2 linked regions of the Rhinolophus ferrumequinum genome follow. The protein of the gene in region 1 purifies or fractionates together with the protein of each later gene. This does not show direct contact. Links are inferred from orthologs where the notes say so. Each region holds a gene or a part of one and is shown on either strand. Other genes may lie near its edges.

What was found. Proteins that work in one complex are often made in the same cells at the same time.
Region 2: the proteins of CUL5 (region 1) and SPSB2 purify together in Homo sapiens (affinity purification with mass spectrometry; 4 studies listed by BioGRID and IntAct, counting the BioPlex papers as one, with this or other methods). This does not show direct contact. The link is inferred for Rhinolophus ferrumequinum from reciprocal best matches to the Homo sapiens genes CUL5 and SPSB2.

What each region holds. Positions count from the first base shown.
Region 1 is NC_046294.1:76,755,605-76,765,327, reverse strand, and holds the start of CUL5 (cullin-5), read right to left. Parts: upstream 4,650-9,723; 5' UTR 4,037-4,649; coding exon 4,013-4,036; intron 3,432-4,012; exon of another isoform or gene 3,325-3,431; intron 1-3,324. UniProt on the Homo sapiens protein: Core component of multiple cullin-5-RING E3 ubiquitin-protein ligase complexes (ECS complexes, also named CRL5 complexes), which mediate the ubiquitination and subsequent proteasomal degradation of target proteins.
Region 2 is NC_046293.1:24,045,921-24,055,643, forward strand, and holds SPSB2 (SPRY domain-containing SOCS box protein 2), read right to left. Parts: upstream 6,186-9,723; 5' UTR 6,036-6,185; intron 5,785-6,035; 5' UTR 5,696-5,784; coding exon 4,889-5,695; 3' UTR 4,048-4,888; coding exon of another isoform or gene 3,920-4,047; 3' UTR 3,696-3,919; downstream 1-3,695. Other genes in the region: TPI1 (triosephosphate isomerase), read left to right, coding at 204-429, 1,566-1,689, 1,802-1,886, 1,961-2,093, 2,394-2,479, 2,786-2,873, 3,002-3,117. UniProt on the Homo sapiens protein: Substrate recognition component of a SCF-like ECS (Elongin BC-CUL2/5-SOCS-box protein) E3 ubiquitin-protein ligase complex which mediates the ubiquitination and subsequent proteasomal degradation of target proteins.

The DNA of each region.
Region 1 (9,723 bases):
CCTGACAGAAGAAATAGCAAACATATAAAGAGTCTTGAAGACTCTGGTATGCTAGTGAACCAACAAATAACCAGCCAGGTAGAGAGAGAGAGGTCCGGTGTGGGGAGGGAATATGAATATAAATGTGTTATTAGGGAGAAGACCCAGCTTGGAAGGATCTCAAAGAATTTGAACCATCAAAGGTATCTCAGCAAGAAAGTGATATGGTTAGCACTGTTTTGGTCTAGAGCTCAGATCACAGCTAAGAGATAAAAATAGTGAAATCATGGGAGTGAAGACTGTCCCAGAAAAAAAAAAAGTACAAAGAAAAGGGCTGAAGATTAAATCCTGAGAAATAATTATACTGGGAAGGAGAGAAGGGAGATCAATGAAAAATACAGGTGATTTGCGAGATATGAGACCCAGGAGAGACTGTCATAAACCAAAAGGGAAGTAGAGGTAGTAATCAACAATATCAGAAGGGATAAGTGTATCAGAGAATAACCTCATTTGGCAATCAGGAAATTGCCAGAGCTCTTAAGACTAACAGCTTCAATACAACTGTGTGTGGGGGGAGAGAACAAAGTCACAGTAAGTTAAAAAAGGTGAAGAATTATAAAGGCAGCAAGTGGGTTCTGCTTTTCTAAGAACTGTGATTATGAATAGAAAGAGAGAAAAGGGCAAAAGTTTGAGGCCAAAGCAGAGCACAAGTTTATATGAGGAGTTACATGAACGTTTATCCCCACAGAAGTGAGAATAAAGGAGACAAATAAAAATAACAGGAGGCATGCTGCCGAGACCTGGTGGTGCATGAAGGCAGAACAAGTGGAAGGAGGCAATACAACAGGTGCCTTGGAAAAGAGGAGAACAAGGGGAAACTAGAAAAATTTGTGGTATTGACCCAGGAAGTTAAGGACACCCAAACAGCTGGAAAAAATAATGTGCTAAGAATTAAACGGGGATAATGCTCAGAAAAATAAGATTTAAACAATTGTTATTTGGAAAAGAATATTCAATCGGAAATAAAGAAAATGAGCACTGAGGGCCTAGATAACTGCAAAAGTAAAGAAACAAGTGGAACTATATGGTAAAACAAAAAGTTAAAGTAGTAATACTAAAAAGTTTTTGGAGATCTAAACCACCCAAGCAACTGATAATTGTATTTGTCAAAATGTACAACACAAATCTTTTTATATCCAAAAGATTCCCCAAATCCAGCAATAGTCCACTTGCTTTAAATGGAGAATACAATTATTACAAATTCCAAAATAAAAAAAGTAGGTGGTTTTTATTACATTGGGTTCTGACTTATAAGTTCCACATCAAAGTTTTGAATCTTGTTATCTTTCATAACATATTGGCTTTCATATTAGCTTCTTATTATCTTTCATAACACATTCCTCTGAACTCTGTCATCCACAAATTCAATAAACTTAACCTAATCCAAGTTACTGGTAAATAGGTAGAGGACATTATCTTTCAGCAGGACGGTAAAGGCCTCCCTTCAGGTACAGTTGTTTAACTGATAATGAATCAAATTCTACTTGTATTCTCACCTCGCCCACATACCTCCATTTTGGTCATAGGACATGATAATTCTGTCAAATATGCTGTGGTGAAATCTAATTACACAATGTCTCAGGCAGTGTTCTAAGGAACCAGTCTATGAATTCTGTCAAGAAAGGAAATGAGGCTAACGTGGCCACTTCCTAGCCAGCCCTGTCTCTGTTCAACGCAGCACTAGCCTTGAATTTAAATGACCCTCTGACTTATGTTATGGCTCCACCCTGGCAAGGTCACATTACATTTCTCCAAGACAAACTTCCCAGTTTTTAATTAGTTAATTCTAGATATAAGAATTTAGGGCAATTCCCCTTCCCCCCAATAAGAAGAGAAGGAAAGATTTCCGGCCAATTTAAATATGTAAACTTTTGGTGATACAGATAAAAGAATTAAACGTGTATTTACATTGTCCATTATATTCCCTTAGTTGTACATATTTAAAATCACATAGGATATAAAATAATATTTAAAAATTCTTTTTCCCCCTTTCAACATTTCATAAAACAACTTTATTGAAATTTTCCCAGTGCATCTTTGGCATCTGTTTTCACGTTCACTAGAATGACTGAGGAATTTACCAGTTTTTTCAAAGCACTGCCACCTTCCTTTTATTTATAAAAGTTGTTTGAATTACAGAACTTCTGAATTCTTGTTATCCTTTTAACCTAAACACTAAGTGTCCATTTTCTATATATTCAAGCAGCTTTTTTATTCTATAGATGTATGCTGTAGATGTAGATTCATAATCTCTACAAAGTAACCACTTAGTAGTGTTGACTGATATAACTTCAGACTTGTATCTCCTCCCAACAATCCTTTGCAAAGCTTTGTATGGGGTAGAATAAAGTAAAAGGCTCTTTGCTGAGATAATTGGGGGGTGGGGAAAGACTGCTGTATATGCATGTAATCCAGTCAAAAATTCAAAGAATCAGGAACCCAATTATTTTTTTCATGATTTCAATTAATAGCATAAGCGATTGCTTATGTAATCATGCAGACGCTTTAATAGGAGTCTTTAGAAGTTAAACAAGTTTTCTTTCTGAACTAATATATTAAAATTTGCAATAATGTTACAAAAGACGAGTCCAGTAGGATGGGTTACTCAATTCCGTTATTTAGTTTTCTTAGAGAAACAAGAGTAGTGATTCTAGTAATTTAGGTGTATTGTGTACTAATTAAGTCCCAGTCACGGTTTTAACCATTTTATATACATTAACTCAATCTTCAAAACGCTCCTATGAAACAGGTTCTATTAATAATTCCATTTCATTGATGAGGAAACCTAGGCCGAGATTAAGAAACTTGCCGGAAGTCACACAGCTTCTAAGTGGCTGAAATTCAGTCTAGTTCTAGGCCCCTCCCCCATTTAAAGGAAGATAATATTATTGCCTCTTAAGTTAGTTAAAACAGTTCTACATTTTATAGGACAGTCCCATCTATCAGGCAGTTAACATCAGTAGTCTAAAAAAGGACATGAGTGAGGTTCCGGTATATTTTAACATATTTTCTATTCAATTATTTTCCACTATCCATCCTCACGGCCTGAATGTATAATGATGGGTTCGAGGGGAGTACTTCATCCTTTGTATATATGTTCCCTGAGCTAATCAGACCAATTCAGTAAATACTTTTAAGGCAAAACGTTCCTACTATAAACACAAGCACAGAATAAACAGATTAGTGCCTTTTCTCGTTTTCCTCCAAACGTTTTAATTGATAGTAGAGAATCTGCTCCTGACTCTAGATCTCCCTTGCTATCCCAAATATATAAAACTAACTAACCGTTTTCTTTGATAAGGTAACTTTCCTAAGCCCTAAAGCGATGGCAGCACTTCCTCAGTACCGTAGTCATCTGGTTGTGTGCTGTAGTGGGGCTGAGGAGCAGTTTCCTAAGGAAAAAAGGGTAAAATATGAACTCGAGAATGGGAGAGTAGGAGGGAAAGTACAGCGTGCAGAAAGGGACGGCGGGAGTGGAGTGGATGGCAGTGCTTGCCGTCTGACTTAGAATTCCGTGCAGAGAGAATAAGAACTGAAATTAAGGAGGTGGGGGTCGTCATTGATCCCTATGTCAGGCAGCATTTTCTTGGATTTTCCTTTTATACGTCTTAGACTCTCGCTTCAGAACAAACCGAGACCCTAAGAGTACTAACTGCCCAATCGGTCACGGCAAAGCACCACCATTCATCTCCCGTCCGAGGCCAGAGCTGGTCCATTGAAAGCATCGCTACCCGCCATCCCTCAGCTGGGCCTTTCACACACCGGTCAACCGGCCCGAGGGACAACCAGAGCCTCTCGACCCCAAGGCCAGGGACCCGCGTTCCGGTCCTGGGCGGCAGCTTCCCCGGCCTCCCTTCCGGTAGACAACCCCTGAACACTCCTACAATTTGCCCCTAAACCCGATCCGAACCTTTCCCAAAGAGCTGAACCCAGCGGTCGCGAAGTAAAAGCCAAGCTAGCCTGAGGGTCTTACCTTTAACAGATGAGACGTCGCCATGTTCCTTCAACTTAGATTCTCGCGAGACGTAGCGAGATTTCGTGGCGCCCCGGGCCAGGCCACAACCGGAGGCCGGAGTTGTCCCACCAGGGCCGACGGGCCCACCGGCCCGCACCGGGGGTGTGGTGGGCGCCGGGCGGCGTGCAGACAGCGCTGACTTCGTCCCAGGCTTCCTCACTCTTTCCCCCTACATGGTCACCGGAGCTTCCCCACACGAAAGAGCTCATGCAAACGCTCAGGGAGACGGCGACGGTGAATGGTGAGAAGGTAACGGGAGCCGACCTGAATTGGAAGAGGAAGCATCGACTCCACGACCCTCCCCACTTCTTCGGATTAGCCTTTGTGGTTGCACCCGCAGCGGCCACCGGCAACGAATTTAGCTCGGCTTAGGCCCGGCAGCTCAGGTTCCACCGCCGCATCACGTGACGCGGCGGGCGGGGGCGCGCTCGGGAGCGAGCGTGGGAGCCTGGAAGCCTTGGTGGGCCGAGAGGCTGCAAAGAGGGTGGGATCACGCCCTCTGCTGGCGAGACCAGGCCAGACCCTTTATTCCCCGCCCCAAATCCCGCGACTTGAGTGTTAAGGGAGGTATCTTACCCCAATGAAATGCTTGTAACAGCTGTCTTCCATAAGAACTGGCCATAGAAACCGCCCCATAGATATGTGTTGGATGAATACATGAATGAATGAATACATGAATGAATGAAATGTTGACTATTAACTATTTTTTTAATAGACAACAGAAACTTATTTCTCTGTTCTGGAGGCAGGAAGTCGGAGATCAGAATGCCAGCATGGTTGGGTGAGGGCCCTCTTTTAAGTTGCAGAGATCTTACATGGCAGAAAGGGCCTTAACTATTAATATTTCTATTCAAGTGTGTCTCGCACTAAAATAATCTATGAAAGACTGTTTGGGCAATGAACGTTAACCTTGGATTTCCTGAAGGCGTTGTCCCAGAAGATCCTAAACCATAAGCCCCCAAGCATTATCCCTTCAGATCACAAGGGACTGGCCAAAGGAAGAGAATATAATTTATATGTGCAACCTACAATATACCTGGTATTGTATTATACATTTTTACTAGCATTCATGATATGTTGGAAGTAAATAAGAGCTATGTAGTAAAATAAAACGGAAGGGAAGGATGAAGTTGGAAATTTTAAATACAGTGATTCAAGTAGTCCTCACTGAGAAGATGGCATTTGAGCAAAGACTTGAAAGAGGTAAGGAAGAAGCCAGGTCATTTGTGGGAGAAGAGTATCCCAGAGAGGGGAAGCACAGAGAGTAGGTTGCCAAGAGTATCCGAGAAATAGTGAGAAGGTTGGTGTGTTCAGGGCAGAGAATAAGGCGATCAGAAGATTATATAGGGCCTTGTAGACCACCCATAAAGACTGGCTTTTACCTGAGTGAGATAGGGAATCATTGCAGGCTTTTGAACACAGGAATGGCATGATCAAACTCCCATTTTAACTCTCACTGCTATGGAGTGAATAGAAGCAGAACTGTAATTTGGAAAGCTTATGTAATACTTCACTAAATCAACATAACTTTCATGCCATCTGGGTGTCTCCATTTTACAAATGACTTAGTAGAGAGCAATACACTATTAAACAATGAGTAAATGGTAGGACAAGGATTCAGAGCCACTATGCCTGTGTGTTCTGGCAGAATGTTAACACAGGGATGACTCTTACCATAGAGGTCACCTTTGTTCTACAGAGGACAAAAATGAGGCTCAGAGAGGTTATCCTGCCAAAGTCACTCAACTGGGTCAGAGAAAAAGGCCTAGTCCAGAATAAACTTTATATAATCATGGTTCCCTTTTCCTGTGAAACTGGGTTATCTTCAACTGTAGTCCAACTCTACTGCTTAATTTAAAATGTAAGACTCTTGATTAAATTATAATCAGTTTTATGTACCCTAAAAAAAGTCCGAAGACACTATGATGTAATAATTGAATAAATCAATTAATTAATGACCCTACTTAAAGAATCCAATTAAGTATTTAATACTTGTTTGAGTACCCACTACAGGCATACCTCTTTTTATTGCTCTTCACTTTATTGCACTTCACACTTGTTGCATTTTTACAAATTGAAGGCAAGACTCCCACACATCTTTATTTTCACTCAGCTGTGTGATATAAATTACTGAAAAGTATGTTTGTGCGTACTTTTTTCACACTTTCTTGTAGAAATGCAAACAATTACCAGCAGGCCCTAATGCATCCCTTGTGTCCACGATGTTTGGGATTATTACTTCCACAATAGGCTCTGGAAGTCTATTTTAAATACAACAGCTATAAAACAAAGCTTTTGATTTGTAAAAAGCAAAGCAAAAGACAAAAAGCTTTTTTACATGTAAAGATAGTATATAAAGTTTAATCAATACACTGTATATTGATTAGAGAACTGGTGAAAAACTAGATGGGGCACCAAGGGTTTGCAAGATTTGGGAGTGGAAGAGGGAGGACAGAAACAGCCCCAAGAGATGGAGGAGAATGATTGTTGGGGTCTCCCAGATCTCTGTATACCACATGGAGAAAAAGAGTCTGTCTCAAAAGACTATCCAGGAAGATCCATGGGAGCCAATCCTAAGCCTAACCCTAACCGGAATCTAACCATATCCCTATATCAATTTCTATCCTTATTCCTAAGCCAGAAGATCCTTCTTTGCTGTGCCAGGAAATGCCACACATTGCTTGTGCTGAGAGGTGTGTTAGTTGTCTTTCTTGAGAGAGGGTATCTCGGAGGCAGCTTTCTCTATATTGCCTGTAAGACAGTTACCTGTGCTTTAAGTCTGCGCTCAGCCCATGAATCTGCTCTGGTTGAATGACCATCCCCCTCCATGGTCCAAAACACTTCTAAGCTCCACTCTCCCTTCTAGAAAATGGGGCCCTGGACAAGGAAGTGAAAACCCCACTAGCAACTATGAAACTGAACAGAACCATCCTAAGATTTCCATGGGACCAGGTCCAGAGTGAAACTCTCACAGTCCAATTTATACATACGAGTATATTACATAATCATTTTCTTGCAAATGTCTTAAACAACAGATATTCTGAAGTTTAAGAAGAAATGAGAAAAGAATATAGAAGGGAGAGTGAAGAGATAGAGGAAATGCGTTCTGATTCCTGGGCAGTCCCAAGGACCCAATTGAGAGTAGTGGCCCTGAATTTTAGTTGCGACTACTTGGCATAGCTAAGGAAACTAAGACAGCAGGGTTAAGTAAGACACCTCAGGTCTCACTGCTCTTGAGTAGCAGGACCTGTTTCGTTCTAAAGCCACATTCAGACACTCAAGTGCAGGCACTGAATTGATACACACTAGGCTCCAATCCAGGTTAGGGTTTTGTTGACAGAGGATGTTGCAGCGAGTTGAGCATATGTGTAAGAGTATGATGATTGACCATGGGGTTAAAATTGAATCTGGAGGGTGAAAAACTGAAAATATAGTAGGATTAAAGTACTGTATGGGTGAGAGACGAAGGGTTGTTGGAATGAAGATACCAGAGGGAGTAAGTTGGGAAGATAGGAGCAGGTGGCTGGAGGGTGACATTGAGCTTAGGCTGTTATCGGTTGCAGTTATTGGTAATGACAAGGGCTAAGCTATGATCAGGGAGACAGTAGTGAGGTAGGGTGGAGAACAGGATCACTGGGACAGACGAGGCCAGGGAACTGAGAAGCCAGGCATTCTCATGGTGTCCTAGTCACATCCCCTTGATCTACTTCTGATTTCAGTAGCAGCTATGATGGACATTTCAGACTCCCCTGACAGCTTCCCACCCGAAAAGGGCACCTCTCCTTTCTTCTTTCACCTCAGGGTCTTCTCTGAAGGCCCAGCAGCCTGCTAGGTTCACAGGAAAGTACAGCAAAGTGTGGGGAAGATAAAGCTCCTGAGAACAACCCTTAACTAACAGGTCAGAAGCCAGTGAATAAGTGCGTCAGCCTCTGGTCCTCATGCAAACAATTTTGTGGGGCACTCAGGATGCTTCGCAGAGGTCTCAGTGGACTCAAGTTTCTTTCATTCATGGTAGTGACCTTAATGCCACACCTTTACAGAGGCTTTTCCTCCTTATCTTATTCTTCTTGCTCCCTGGTTCCTGCTTTCTGGGTTATCTCCCAAATAAACCATTTGTAACCGAAGTCCTTGTTTCAGGGTCTACTTTCAGGAGAAACCTTACTACAACACCAGGGTTTTAAAAATCTTCTGTGTGAATATTGAAATCACTAAGAATTATGACAGGAGTAGTGTTGGAGAGAATGATAGTGAGTCAGTATCTAAATTAATTAAGGAATGATGGAGTATGACCTGGGGGGGTCAGTACATGATTATGGCAAGGAGAGTTAATGGATGTATGGTCCATTGACACCAGACTCCAAGCTGAGTGCTTCTAGGGAAGAGGAGAGAAGGATGATTTAGAAATGGCAGTGGGGAACAAAGAAGACCATCACATGACCTCCAGGCCCAGTGGTACATTAGCCATCTCAAGAGAGAGATGCAGGAAAAGCAGTGACTTCAGGAAAGAATCAAGTTCCACTTAGAATAAGGAAGTAAAGGAACCGTTAAGAGAAGAGTTTGAGGATACGGAGGATTTCACTGCTTGTCCAGAGGTCAGAGGTTGGGGAAATGGAATCAAAAAGGGGTAAGTGATGAAGTGTACCCAGATGAGGGGTGACCTAGGTATAGGGGCTTCTTGCAGAGACTGACATAAAGCTAAAGGCATAATGATATTGGTTTTAATGGTGGAAGGGCAGATAGTGGGGGTGTGTCATGACTAGGCAGGGGTGGGGATCTTGCCAGAAACACACAGACCTCTAAGGTTTCCTCTTCTCTGCTGCAGTTGAAAGTGTAGAAGCTGGGGAGGGTCGTTCCTACTCCCTTCAAATGCACGGAGTTCTTGGGAATTCCTTTGACCCTTACAGAAGGAGGCAGGAAACCCAGGGAGAGACATAGGCTTATCTGCAACACAGAGAATTCTGGGGAATGATGTTTAATAACTAGTTTGGGACTAGTCTTGTCAAAAACAACAGGTGAATAGTAACCTGTTCACTTATTCACTATTATTCTTACCAATTGTTAAACAATGCCCGAAGGTTGCACCTCAATTATGTTTTCTAAACAAGGATGGATTAACAAATATGGGACTTATTACATTACCTATACGTCTATAATGCAAAATACCCCCCTGAAAAATAGGAAAAGTGTCTAAAGATTAAAAAATATTGCAGAACAACACTGTGAGGCCCTAGAATCATCAATTCTTGAAAAAACAGTGATTAGGCATATGATTTCTGGAACAAATAGATATTTCAACCAATTTGTTGGGTTGACCAGCTTGCAGCCTATGAATTTGCTTGGGGTCAATTGACAGAACTGGGACTAGATCCAAGTGCTCCGATTTGTGATTTAATACTCTCATGTGAAGGATGGTTTCAGAGAAAAGCATCAAAGCAACCGACAAAAAGCTCAAGTAATAGTTCGCTTGTCCTGTAAGGCAGAACCTTCACTTCTGGACCTGATACTTGTATCCTCTGAGGCTGCCTCACAAAAGACTCAGGCTCTAGTTCCTCTTCACCCTTGGTCTACAGGTGTGGATCTCTAGTGCCTTACTCTCACATTGTCCCATAATTCTCTACATATAGGAGAATAGTACCAAGTTTTCTGACCTTTGCTGCACCTGTTTGCAC
Region 2 (9,723 bases), on another chromosome or scaffold:
GGCTGTAGTCGCGAAGTGGGGGGATTCTCCGAGAGCAGGGGCTCACAGTTCTCACATTCTCTCGAAAGTTCGGCAACAGGCTGAAGTGACTGAACCCCTACGCCCCTAGAACGTTGCTACAAGAAAGGGTAACAACAGAACGCTGCCACTTGAGCGGCGGGCGGGCCGGGGGGAAGGACTTGCCGGCAGGGGCCGGGCTAACCATGGCAAAGGACGGGGAGGAGGCGGAGTTCTACCTCACCGCACTCTATATAAGCGGGCAGTGGCCGCGGCTGCGCGGTGATACTGACCTTCAGGGTAGCGGCTCCAGCGCCATGGCGCCCTCCAGGAAGTTTTTCGTGGGGGGGAACTGGAAGATGAATGGGCGAAAGACGAGTCTGGGGGAACTCATCAGCACTCTGAACGCCGCCAAGTTGCCAGCCGACACCGGTAAGCCTTGTCGGGGAGGGATCTGGCTGGTGGGGGAGGGCGGGCGTGGCAGCGCCCTCTCCCGGGCCACCTGATGTCCTCGTAGACCTGGATGCAGGGCTGGGGACGAGGGCTGCTGGGGATCTGGACATTGACCCAGCAGCGCCGTGGCCCTGCAGCCGCGTACCTGGCGTGTGTCGAGGGGGAAAAGCAGGGCCACATTTTCTGGTGCCTTCGGAGAGTGGAGCGGGAAAGGACTTTTTGGGTCTTCGGGAGGAAGATGGCCCCGGGGCACGGACTGGGCTGCACCACGAGGAGTCCGGGGTGGAAGCGAAGGCTAGCCCCAGCCGGCTACGGGAGAGGCTGGCAACAGCCTCCAAGTGTGTGTGTATCGTGGGGGAGGCGGCTGAGTGGGCGTGCGGGCGACCAGCTACCTACCCCTGGGCCCGGCTCCGCGCGCTGCCGCACGTAGGCCGAGACTCCTCCCCGCGCTTTGCCAGCCGGTGGAGTGCCCCCCGCCACGCTGCTTTGGCCTCAGGAGCGCCCAGCTCTAATCCTTTCCCCGGGGCAGCCTGGAGGACTCCTGCCTTCCGTAGAAAGGGGCTGAGCTGTTGGGAATGAGTCATCCTACTCCTTCCAACCTGGAACCGGGAAAGTGCAGGGCCTCTGTAAGCTGGTGCTGTCCTCAGTCCTTCCATCCACCTAAATCACAGAACCACGGACTGGATCAAAAAGGCATCCTTTTTTATTCCCTAGAGACCCCAGTATAAACCCCAGGGGTTGGCCCCTTCTGCTTTTGCTAAAAATCCTTGCCTTGCCTGAGGGAGGTGGGGATGGGCTATTTTAGGGGGAGGCGGGGTTGGCCCCCAGAGAATGCTGAGTCTAGGAGGTACCCAGACCCAGAATAGCCCAGGGAAATCGGAGCCACAGCTTTGAAAAGAGCAGAGGGCAGGGTGAGGGCCATGGCCTCCCAGGGGCACTTGCAAGGGTCTAGGACTTGGGAACAGGCCCAGTCTGGGCTCAGTATGGACAAAAATCCTCTTGCTGGCGTGAAAAGAGAAGGAAAGTAGAACTAAGAAAGCTGGTGAAGGCTAGGGGGCTCCAGAGCACTGGATGGAGTTTGGAGAATGACGACTTCCTTGTGATCTCACCCTCAGAGGTTGTTTGTGCACCCCCCACTGCCTACATTGACTTCGCCCGGCAGAAGCTAGATCCCAAGATTGCTGTGGCTGCACAGAACTGCTACAAAGTGACTAATGGGGCCTTTACTGGGGAGATCAGGTGAGATGTAGGTGAGGCCCGGGGTGTGGGAACCCTGCCCTCACCTTCCTCATTGAGTGGAAAGCCACAGGTGGGCTCCCTGTGGAATTGTGGCTTCCATCTCTTTCTTTAGCCCTGGCATGATCAAAGACTGTGGAGCCACGTGGGTAGTGCTGGGGCACTCGGAGAGAAGGCACGTCTTTGGGGAGTCAGATGAGGTTAGTAACCTGGAGAGGAGGTAAGAGATGCCGTATTCCAAGAGTGGTGTCTCACCAAGTCTGTTCCTCAACAGCTGATTGGGCAGAAAGTGGCCCATGCCCTGGCTGAGGGACTTGGAGTGATCGCCTGCATTGGGGAGAAGCTAGATGAGAGAGAAGCTGGCATCACTGAGAAGGTCGTTTTCGAGCAAACCAAGGTCATCGCAGGTATCTCTGGAGAAAGGGATCTATAAGCCTAGCCAGGGCCACGGAGGCACAGAGGGTGAGGTCAGATGCCCTGCAGCCTGACTGATTCCCTTGCTGATACTGGAACAGAAAGGGGAAGGTGGGAACCCTTCCCTATCACCTATGCTCCTGCTCCATGGCTTTGATGCCTCTTGGAGTTCCTTCAACAGCCACCAGGGGGCAGAAGGCCATCCTTGTTCTTTAGTCCATGGGTATCTATCTACCTGGCCAAATAGCTCCTTCCTGTTCACCCTTCTTCCCTCTGTGATCTCTGTCCCACAGATAACGTGAAGGACTGGAACAAGGTGGTTCTGGCCTATGAGCCCGTGTGGGCCATTGGTACTGGCAAGACTGCAACACCCCAACAGGTAACAAATCCCAGGGGCCCCCCCTTATTCCTACCCTGCCTCAGCAGAACTGGCAACCACAGAGACCATCTGGGCCAGCCCCTCATTTTAAAGACAGGAGCCCCCAAGCCCAGAAAAGGAGAGTGATTTGTCCAACGACGTCCATTCTAGGGCCTGGGGGGTGATCGGAGCCCTGGTGTTACGGCTTGGATCCCAGGATTTCTGGGATTCCCTGAAACCACACTGCCTCTCTACGGGTGCCCAGGGATTTTTCCCCTTTGAGGGAAAGGCTGAAAGAGTCTTATTTAGTCTGGCTTCTTGTTCTAGGCCCAGGAGGTACACGAAAAGCTCCGGGGATGGCTTAAGTCCAACGTCTCTGATGCAGTGGCTCAGAGCACCCGCATCATTTATGGAGGTGAGTAGGTTTGGCTCTAGCCTGACGTGGGGTAGACAGAGAACTAGACTGATCCCTCAGACATGGAGGTGGGGATGGAGTATGCCCATCCCATCCCTGACCATTCCCCCTTTCTTTTCCCTTTCTAGGTTCTGTGACCGGGGCAACCTGCAAGGAGCTGGCAAGCCAGCCTGATGTGGATGGCTTCCTCGTGGGTGGTGCATCCCTCAAGCCTGAATTTGTGGACATCATCAATGCCAAATAATAAGCCCCATCCATCTCTGCTACCCTTCCTGCTATGCCAGGGACTACGTAGCTCAGAAGCCCCGTAACTGTACCCCGCTTCCCACACATGCTTCTGATGGTGTCATCTACCCCCTCTTGTGGCCTAATCCAAATTATACCTCTTCCTTTACCGTTTACACCTTATCCCATAATGGTTGGGACCAGGCCAATCCCTTCACTTATTGTAATGGTTGGAATAAAACATGTCACCAAGGTGGCTTCTCCTTGACTGAGAGGTAGAAGGGGTGGAGTTTGTTTGTGGGTCCCCTTAGTCCCCGGTAAAGGCAGGAGAAGCCACCCTTCTCTCCCATCTCGCACCATGGGGACAACAGCTTAGAGCCCTGTCGACCCCTCAGAGGCCAGGGGTGTTGTCCTTGCCCCTAGTGCCAATGCCTGTGTGTGTTGTGTATGTGATCAGTCCCACCTGGGGAGAGGGGAAATAAACACCTGGCACTAAGCCTTGTGATTCGTCCTTTACTCCTGTACTTTTCTCCACACCATCTCTTTCCTTTTTTGAGACGGCCACAGGACTCGTGCAAAAAAAATACCACGAACAGGTTTTTACGGTAGCACATCTCTTACTGTTTTTACTTGAAAAAAAGTCTGTGTACCAGGCCACCACAGTCTTAAATAAACAGCTCCCTCCACCCTCTGGGTAGCTTGGGTTGGGATAGGGGCCCAGCCTCACTGGCTTTAAGTAGCTGGTCTAGGCCAGCCGTGCCTCCTCCCTGGCCCCTGGGAGGGGTGGCATCAAGGCCCCATGCATCTGTGGTATCACAGGGTCACTGGTAGAGCAGATAGCGCTTCATGGCAGGGGGCAAGGGCAGAGCAGATACCTGGCCCAGCCGAGTAGCCCCCAGTGCTTGGCGCACGCACACGCGGCTCAGGTGCAGAAGGGAGTGTGGCTCCGCTGGGAGAGAGAAGGAGGGGAAGGTAAGTAGGGGTGCAGCCACCAGCCAGACATCCTCAGACTACAGGGTTCCCTTCTGCTTTCCTGTGCCAAGTCTGCTTGGTTGAGAGGGAGATCTAAGGCCCCCTGAAGTTCTGCATCTGCTCTTGGGGTGGGAGGCATCACATCCCCAGGCAGAGCTGGGGGTGATGCTCTAGCTAAGGCCCTCTAAGCAACTGTCCAAGGTGGCTCTGACGGGTAGAGCTGGCCCAGGCTTTGATTCCAGACAGGCCTTGGGGCTGGGGCTGATAAGCTGAAAGGATGGCCCTCCATTCTGTAACAGCTCATCATGGGTGATGGGAGAAGCATCCAGCCTCTGCTGAAGATTACAACTTCGGAGAACAGGTAACTTCAATCAGCTCCAAGCCTTGGCTGCATTAATTTCCCCAAGAAAACCCCGCCCCTGCAGCACCACCCAAACCTTGCCTCCACTGCTCTCCTCTGGCCACCGGCACCGGGCCTTAATGTCTCCTTCCTGGGAAGTCTACCTCTGAGGAAGTAAGTATGTGTCACAGGTCAGAGCCCAGGAAATCTGGTACACACCCTGGGTGGCTGGTACACACCCTGGGTGGCTGGCACTGCCAGTTCTCTTTCTTTTGGACTTGTACACCTAGCCTAGTACCCATTTAACCCTTTGCACCTCTGTTTCAGGGACTCATAGCTCCTCTAAAGCCCTAATCCCAGGAGTACCTCCCTCCACTCTTGAGGACTCACCACTTACTAGCAAGTTGATTTCCCAAGACCCACTTTTTACCTTTATTGCTGTTGGGAGGATTAAATTAGGTAACAGCTGTGAAGACCCTTAGCCATTCCTGGCACTGAATAGGGGTAGAAGGTCGGTCAGATGAGGGCTCGTTCCCTCTACGCTTGCAAAGATGTTGAGCTTCCAACCCAAACCACAGCCACCAGTAACAGAACACTTCCCACACCTGCCCCAGGCCTCACCTCTCCTTTCACCCAGGTAGCTGATGCGGACCTGGCACTGGCCCCAGACAGCGCTTACTGCTGGATAGAGGGTCCTGCCCTTCAGTCCCCGGAAGGCTGGCCCCAGGTAGGTTCCCCCAATAGCGTAGCCCAGAGTTCCCTCCTCCATGTCCAGAACCACCAGCAGCCTCTCCGGCACTTCCAGCTGTTCACCCTGAGGTCCGGCTGGATATTGAGGGGCACCGGGCCCCTTGCACTGATGGTACAGCTTCCCCCGCCCAATGTCCCAGCCCCATGACTCGCTGTTGCTGCCCAGCAGCGCCGCGTAGTGGTCAGCCTGCAGTGGGGCGAGGGCCGTGGCCACGCCCACCACAGCGTGGGTGCCCCTCTGCTCCTGGGGCCAGCTGATCTCCCAGGCGTGCAGGCCCCTCGAGTAGCCCCTCTTACCCCGGGCCCCATCAGTGCTCTGGGCCACGGGCCGCCGCTCAAAGCACAACCCCTCTTCCTTGACCTCGATGTTTTCTGAGCAGTCCTTGGGGTTCCACCCGTGGCGCCGTTGGGTCCCCAGGTCAGGAGGGGGAGCAGATAGCAGCTCCTCCAAGCCTTCCGGACAAGAGAGGTCGGGGCACAGGGCCTGTGAGGTAAGGGTGCCGTTGTTGCCCCCTGCCAGGGCCGTCTGGCCCATGGAGGTGAGGAGCTGGGGGACTCCCCGAAAGAGTCTTGCTGGGGCGTCTCGTCTCCCTTCTGCAAGTTGAGTTCCTGTTCGGTATTGACCTGGAGAGGAATTGGGAGAGAAGAGGGTGTGAAGTGCACGATCCTGGCGGAGGGGGCTCCTCACCCTGGCGCCTCATCCTTTCACCACGCGTTTGCCCACTGCCCCGCTCCTCCCTCTTCGTTCCCCCAAAGCTCCTCGGCCCATCACCTTGCCCTCACCCATCTGTCCCCGTCTCCCGAGATTCTCGCGAGTTCGTCCCCTTCGAGCCTCTCTAGGAGCCATCCCCTCGCCCTCCCCCTGCCCGCCTCACCGCTCCCGAACCTCGCTTGGCTCCCCAGGCCCGGAGGTCGCCGGGCCTCAAGAGGAGCCCGGCCGAAAGTCGCTACGCGCACCGGGCGCAGAACGCCAGGCGCAGAACGCCGGCCGCTTCCGTGTACAGCGCCGCCCCCAGGTCTCACCCAGGCCCGAGGCCCCGCCCCACGGGGGCCCTCTAGTTGCCGCCGCAGGTCGCGCTCCGCCCCGAGGCCACGCCCCCTCTGGGAGGCTCTCGCGGGCGGTTAACCCTTCTCTTACATCACTTTAGGATTCTTGGAGGTCTGTTCTCCACAGGCAAAACCTTTGAGCAGCTGGGCAATCAACTCCCGATCCCCTAAAGATGAGGGGCATAGGGTCAAAGGGGGGGGGGGGGATTGTGTTTCATTGTGCTGACCTCTATTTCCGTGGTCCTATGATTCTGGATCATTGTTTCTGGGCAGATTTCTTTCTGACCCAGTTTTGAGTCACCCGGTTCTAAGTCTGAGGTCCGAACACTTGTGTTTCGGTTCTGAGCGGTAGGTGTCATAGGTCGCCATGCTGTTCTAGTCTTCATCCTGGATGTCAATCCATTCCTGAGCTGTTGGTCTCATTTGGGAGAGTGTAGTGGTTAAACCTTGGTTGTGGGGGAAGCTATGCCACTAATTAGCTGTGTGACCTTGGAGAGGTTGCCAAACTTCTCTAAACCTGTTTTCTCTTGTGTAAAATGGGAATAATGGTGGTACTTACTCATAGGGTTGTAATGGAGTTGAAATAATCCAGGTAAAGCACTAAATGTGTACGCACTCACTAAGCATAGCTATTATGTTTATTTAATGTTTAGTAAGTGCCCACTCTATAAAGAGGCAATATAATATAATGGTGAAGGATGCCTACTGTGTATCCGGGCTGACTGGATGTGAATACCTGAAGGCCAGCATGCACATGACCTTGGGCAAATTTCTTAACGTCCCTGGTGCTCTTTCTTCCTCTGTAAAACGGAAATGCTGTTGGTATCTACTGCATACAGTGTCATGAAGATTCAGTAAGTTTTTTCTAAAGCACAGCTTCTGGTTCAAATGTAATCATTTGTGCTAAGCACTGAAGTTTAAGCAGTGAATCCTCAAGGAGGTTACAGGGACATTTATAAAAACAGTTTATCAAGTAGTAGATGAAATTATGGAGATATAAAGAAAATATATCGGGGGCCGGCCCGGTGGCTCAGGCGGTTAGAGCTCCATGCTCCTAACTCCGAAGGCTTCCGGTTCGATTCCCACATGGGCCAGTGGGCTCTCAACCACAAGGTTGCCAGTTCAATTCCTCGACTCCCACAAGGGATGGTGGGCTGTGCCCCCTGCAACTAGCAACGGCAACTGGACCTGGAACTGAGCTGCGCCCTCCACAACTAAGACTAAAAGGACAACAACTTGAAGCTGAACAGCACCCTCCACAACTAAGACTGAAAGGACAACAATTTGACTTGGAAAAAAAAAGTCCTGGAAGTACACACTGTTCCCCCAATAAAGTCCTGTTAAAAAAAAAAAAAAGTATATGGGAGTAAAAAGGATGGGACTCCTAACTAGGAAAGTGTCCTGGAGGAGATGACACTGGGTTGAATCTTAAAGAATGCCTAGTAATTGGCCTGAGAGGTGTTTTTGCAGGATGGGGTGAGGTTAGAGTTGCTGCATGTAGAACGTATTCCAGACAGAGCTGGCTTGAAAAAAAGCCAGGAGTGGTAGTTGGATCTGGGGAAGTTTGAAGTCTTCATTCAGGGTTGCTGCAGCAAGAAAGGAAGCAGGGACAAGCCTAGAGAAGTCAGAGCCAGATCATGAAAGCCTTGTAGGCCAAGTTAAAGAACACAAGTGTTAGCCTCTGGACAGGCCAGGAATGGGGAGAAGCAGGAGAGGAACATGGCCAGATACTTATTTTAGAAAAACCACCCTGACAGCAATGTTGAGGAGGCTTTGAGAGTAATAGGACATTAAAAATCAAGGCTGGTTCTAGCAGCTCAGGTGACAAGTGTCAAGAACCTGAAATAGGGCAGTAGAAATAAGGATGAAAAGAATTCAAGAAACACTGATGGAATTGCAAAGTTTGGTGACAGATTAGACGCTGAGGCCAGAGAAAGGAAAGAAAGGGAGGTTTCCAGTCTGGAAGTCTGTTGGAAGTTGGTGCCACTAATGAAGATGGAGATGACAGGAAGAGTAGCAATTGGGAGTAGGAGTAGGAGGGTGGGAGAGAGATGGTGAGTTCAGTTGAGGACATGTTTTTGAGGTAGCTGAGCAACAACTATATGGAACCATTTGAACACACTTGAAAATGGCAGGTCTGGAGAGGGAGAGGCCTTGGGCTAGAGATATAAATTTGGGAGGTGAGTCAGCCTTTATTCAAGAGTTGAAATATGAGAATCAATGAAGTGACTTGGAGACAGTATGTAGAGTGAGAAGAGGGTCAAGGAGGATACTGTGCAGCAGAAAATTCAGGTTTGATTACGTACAAAATTTTTTTGGTCATTGGCTACTTTGGTGAGACAACACATGTGGGTAGTGGGAGATGGGAATCCAGGCTGAAGGGGCTAAACTGGCACTTTCTGTGTGTTGGGCACTGTGCTACAAGCTTCACATTTTGGGGGGATAGAAAGTTGGGAGAGGTGAGGTGACAATTATTCTCATAGTCAAAATTACCCTTGAAAATCCCTTACTCCATCATTTAGGTACAACATATGTTAGTTTTGAGTAAAATACAATATGTGGCAGTATACATACAGTATATGTACAGTGAGATGCAGGGTAAAATTTTATACTATTTTAATTTTTAAAAAAAGGAGAAAGCATATTAAAAAGAAAGATGTGAACCTGAACACTTGTCATCCACACAACCTGGATATTCTTGCTAATGTGACAACAAAAATAATGACATCATGACTGTGGATAGTGGCCTGTGATGAGTATTAGTGCAGGATCTGTGTGATAACCAAATGGATGAAGGCTTAGGGAACAGAGAGTGAGACTATGCCACGGCTGACTCTAGTTCAGCTTGAAAAGTTGATCACACTTGCTCAGCAACTGGTTGTTTCATGCATGGTATTCACCAATTGTTGCCACTCGATCTTGAACTGCTCAAACATTTGTTGATAATAGCTCAAATATTCCATAATGTTACAAGTAATTTTAAAACTTTGTATTGATATATAACATATATAAAGTACACTAATCTTAAACTGCTCAATGAATTTTTACGTATTTATATGTTGTGTGACCACCATTTCCAGCATCAAGATCAGATATATTTCCAGCATCCCAGAAAGCTCCTTCTTGCCCTTTTCCTAACACTACACCCCTAAAAGTAACTACCATTTGACCTCCGTCAGTATAGATTATCTTTGCCTTTTCTTCTATTTCATATAAATAAAACCATTTAGTATCTATTCTTTTGTCTGGCTTATTTTTCTCAACATTATGTCTGTGAGAGTCATCTGTGTTGTTGCATGAAATAGTAGCTCATTATTTTCATTGTTTTACAGTATTCTATTATACGAATATACCACAATGTATTTATTCTACTGTTGATGGGCTCTGAGTTGTTTCCAGTTTTTAGCTATTATAGAGAAAGCTACTATGTATAGTATTATACAAGTCTTTTGGTGGACGTAGGCACTCAATTTTATTGGGTGCATACTTATGTGCAAAATTGCTGGGTTATAAAAA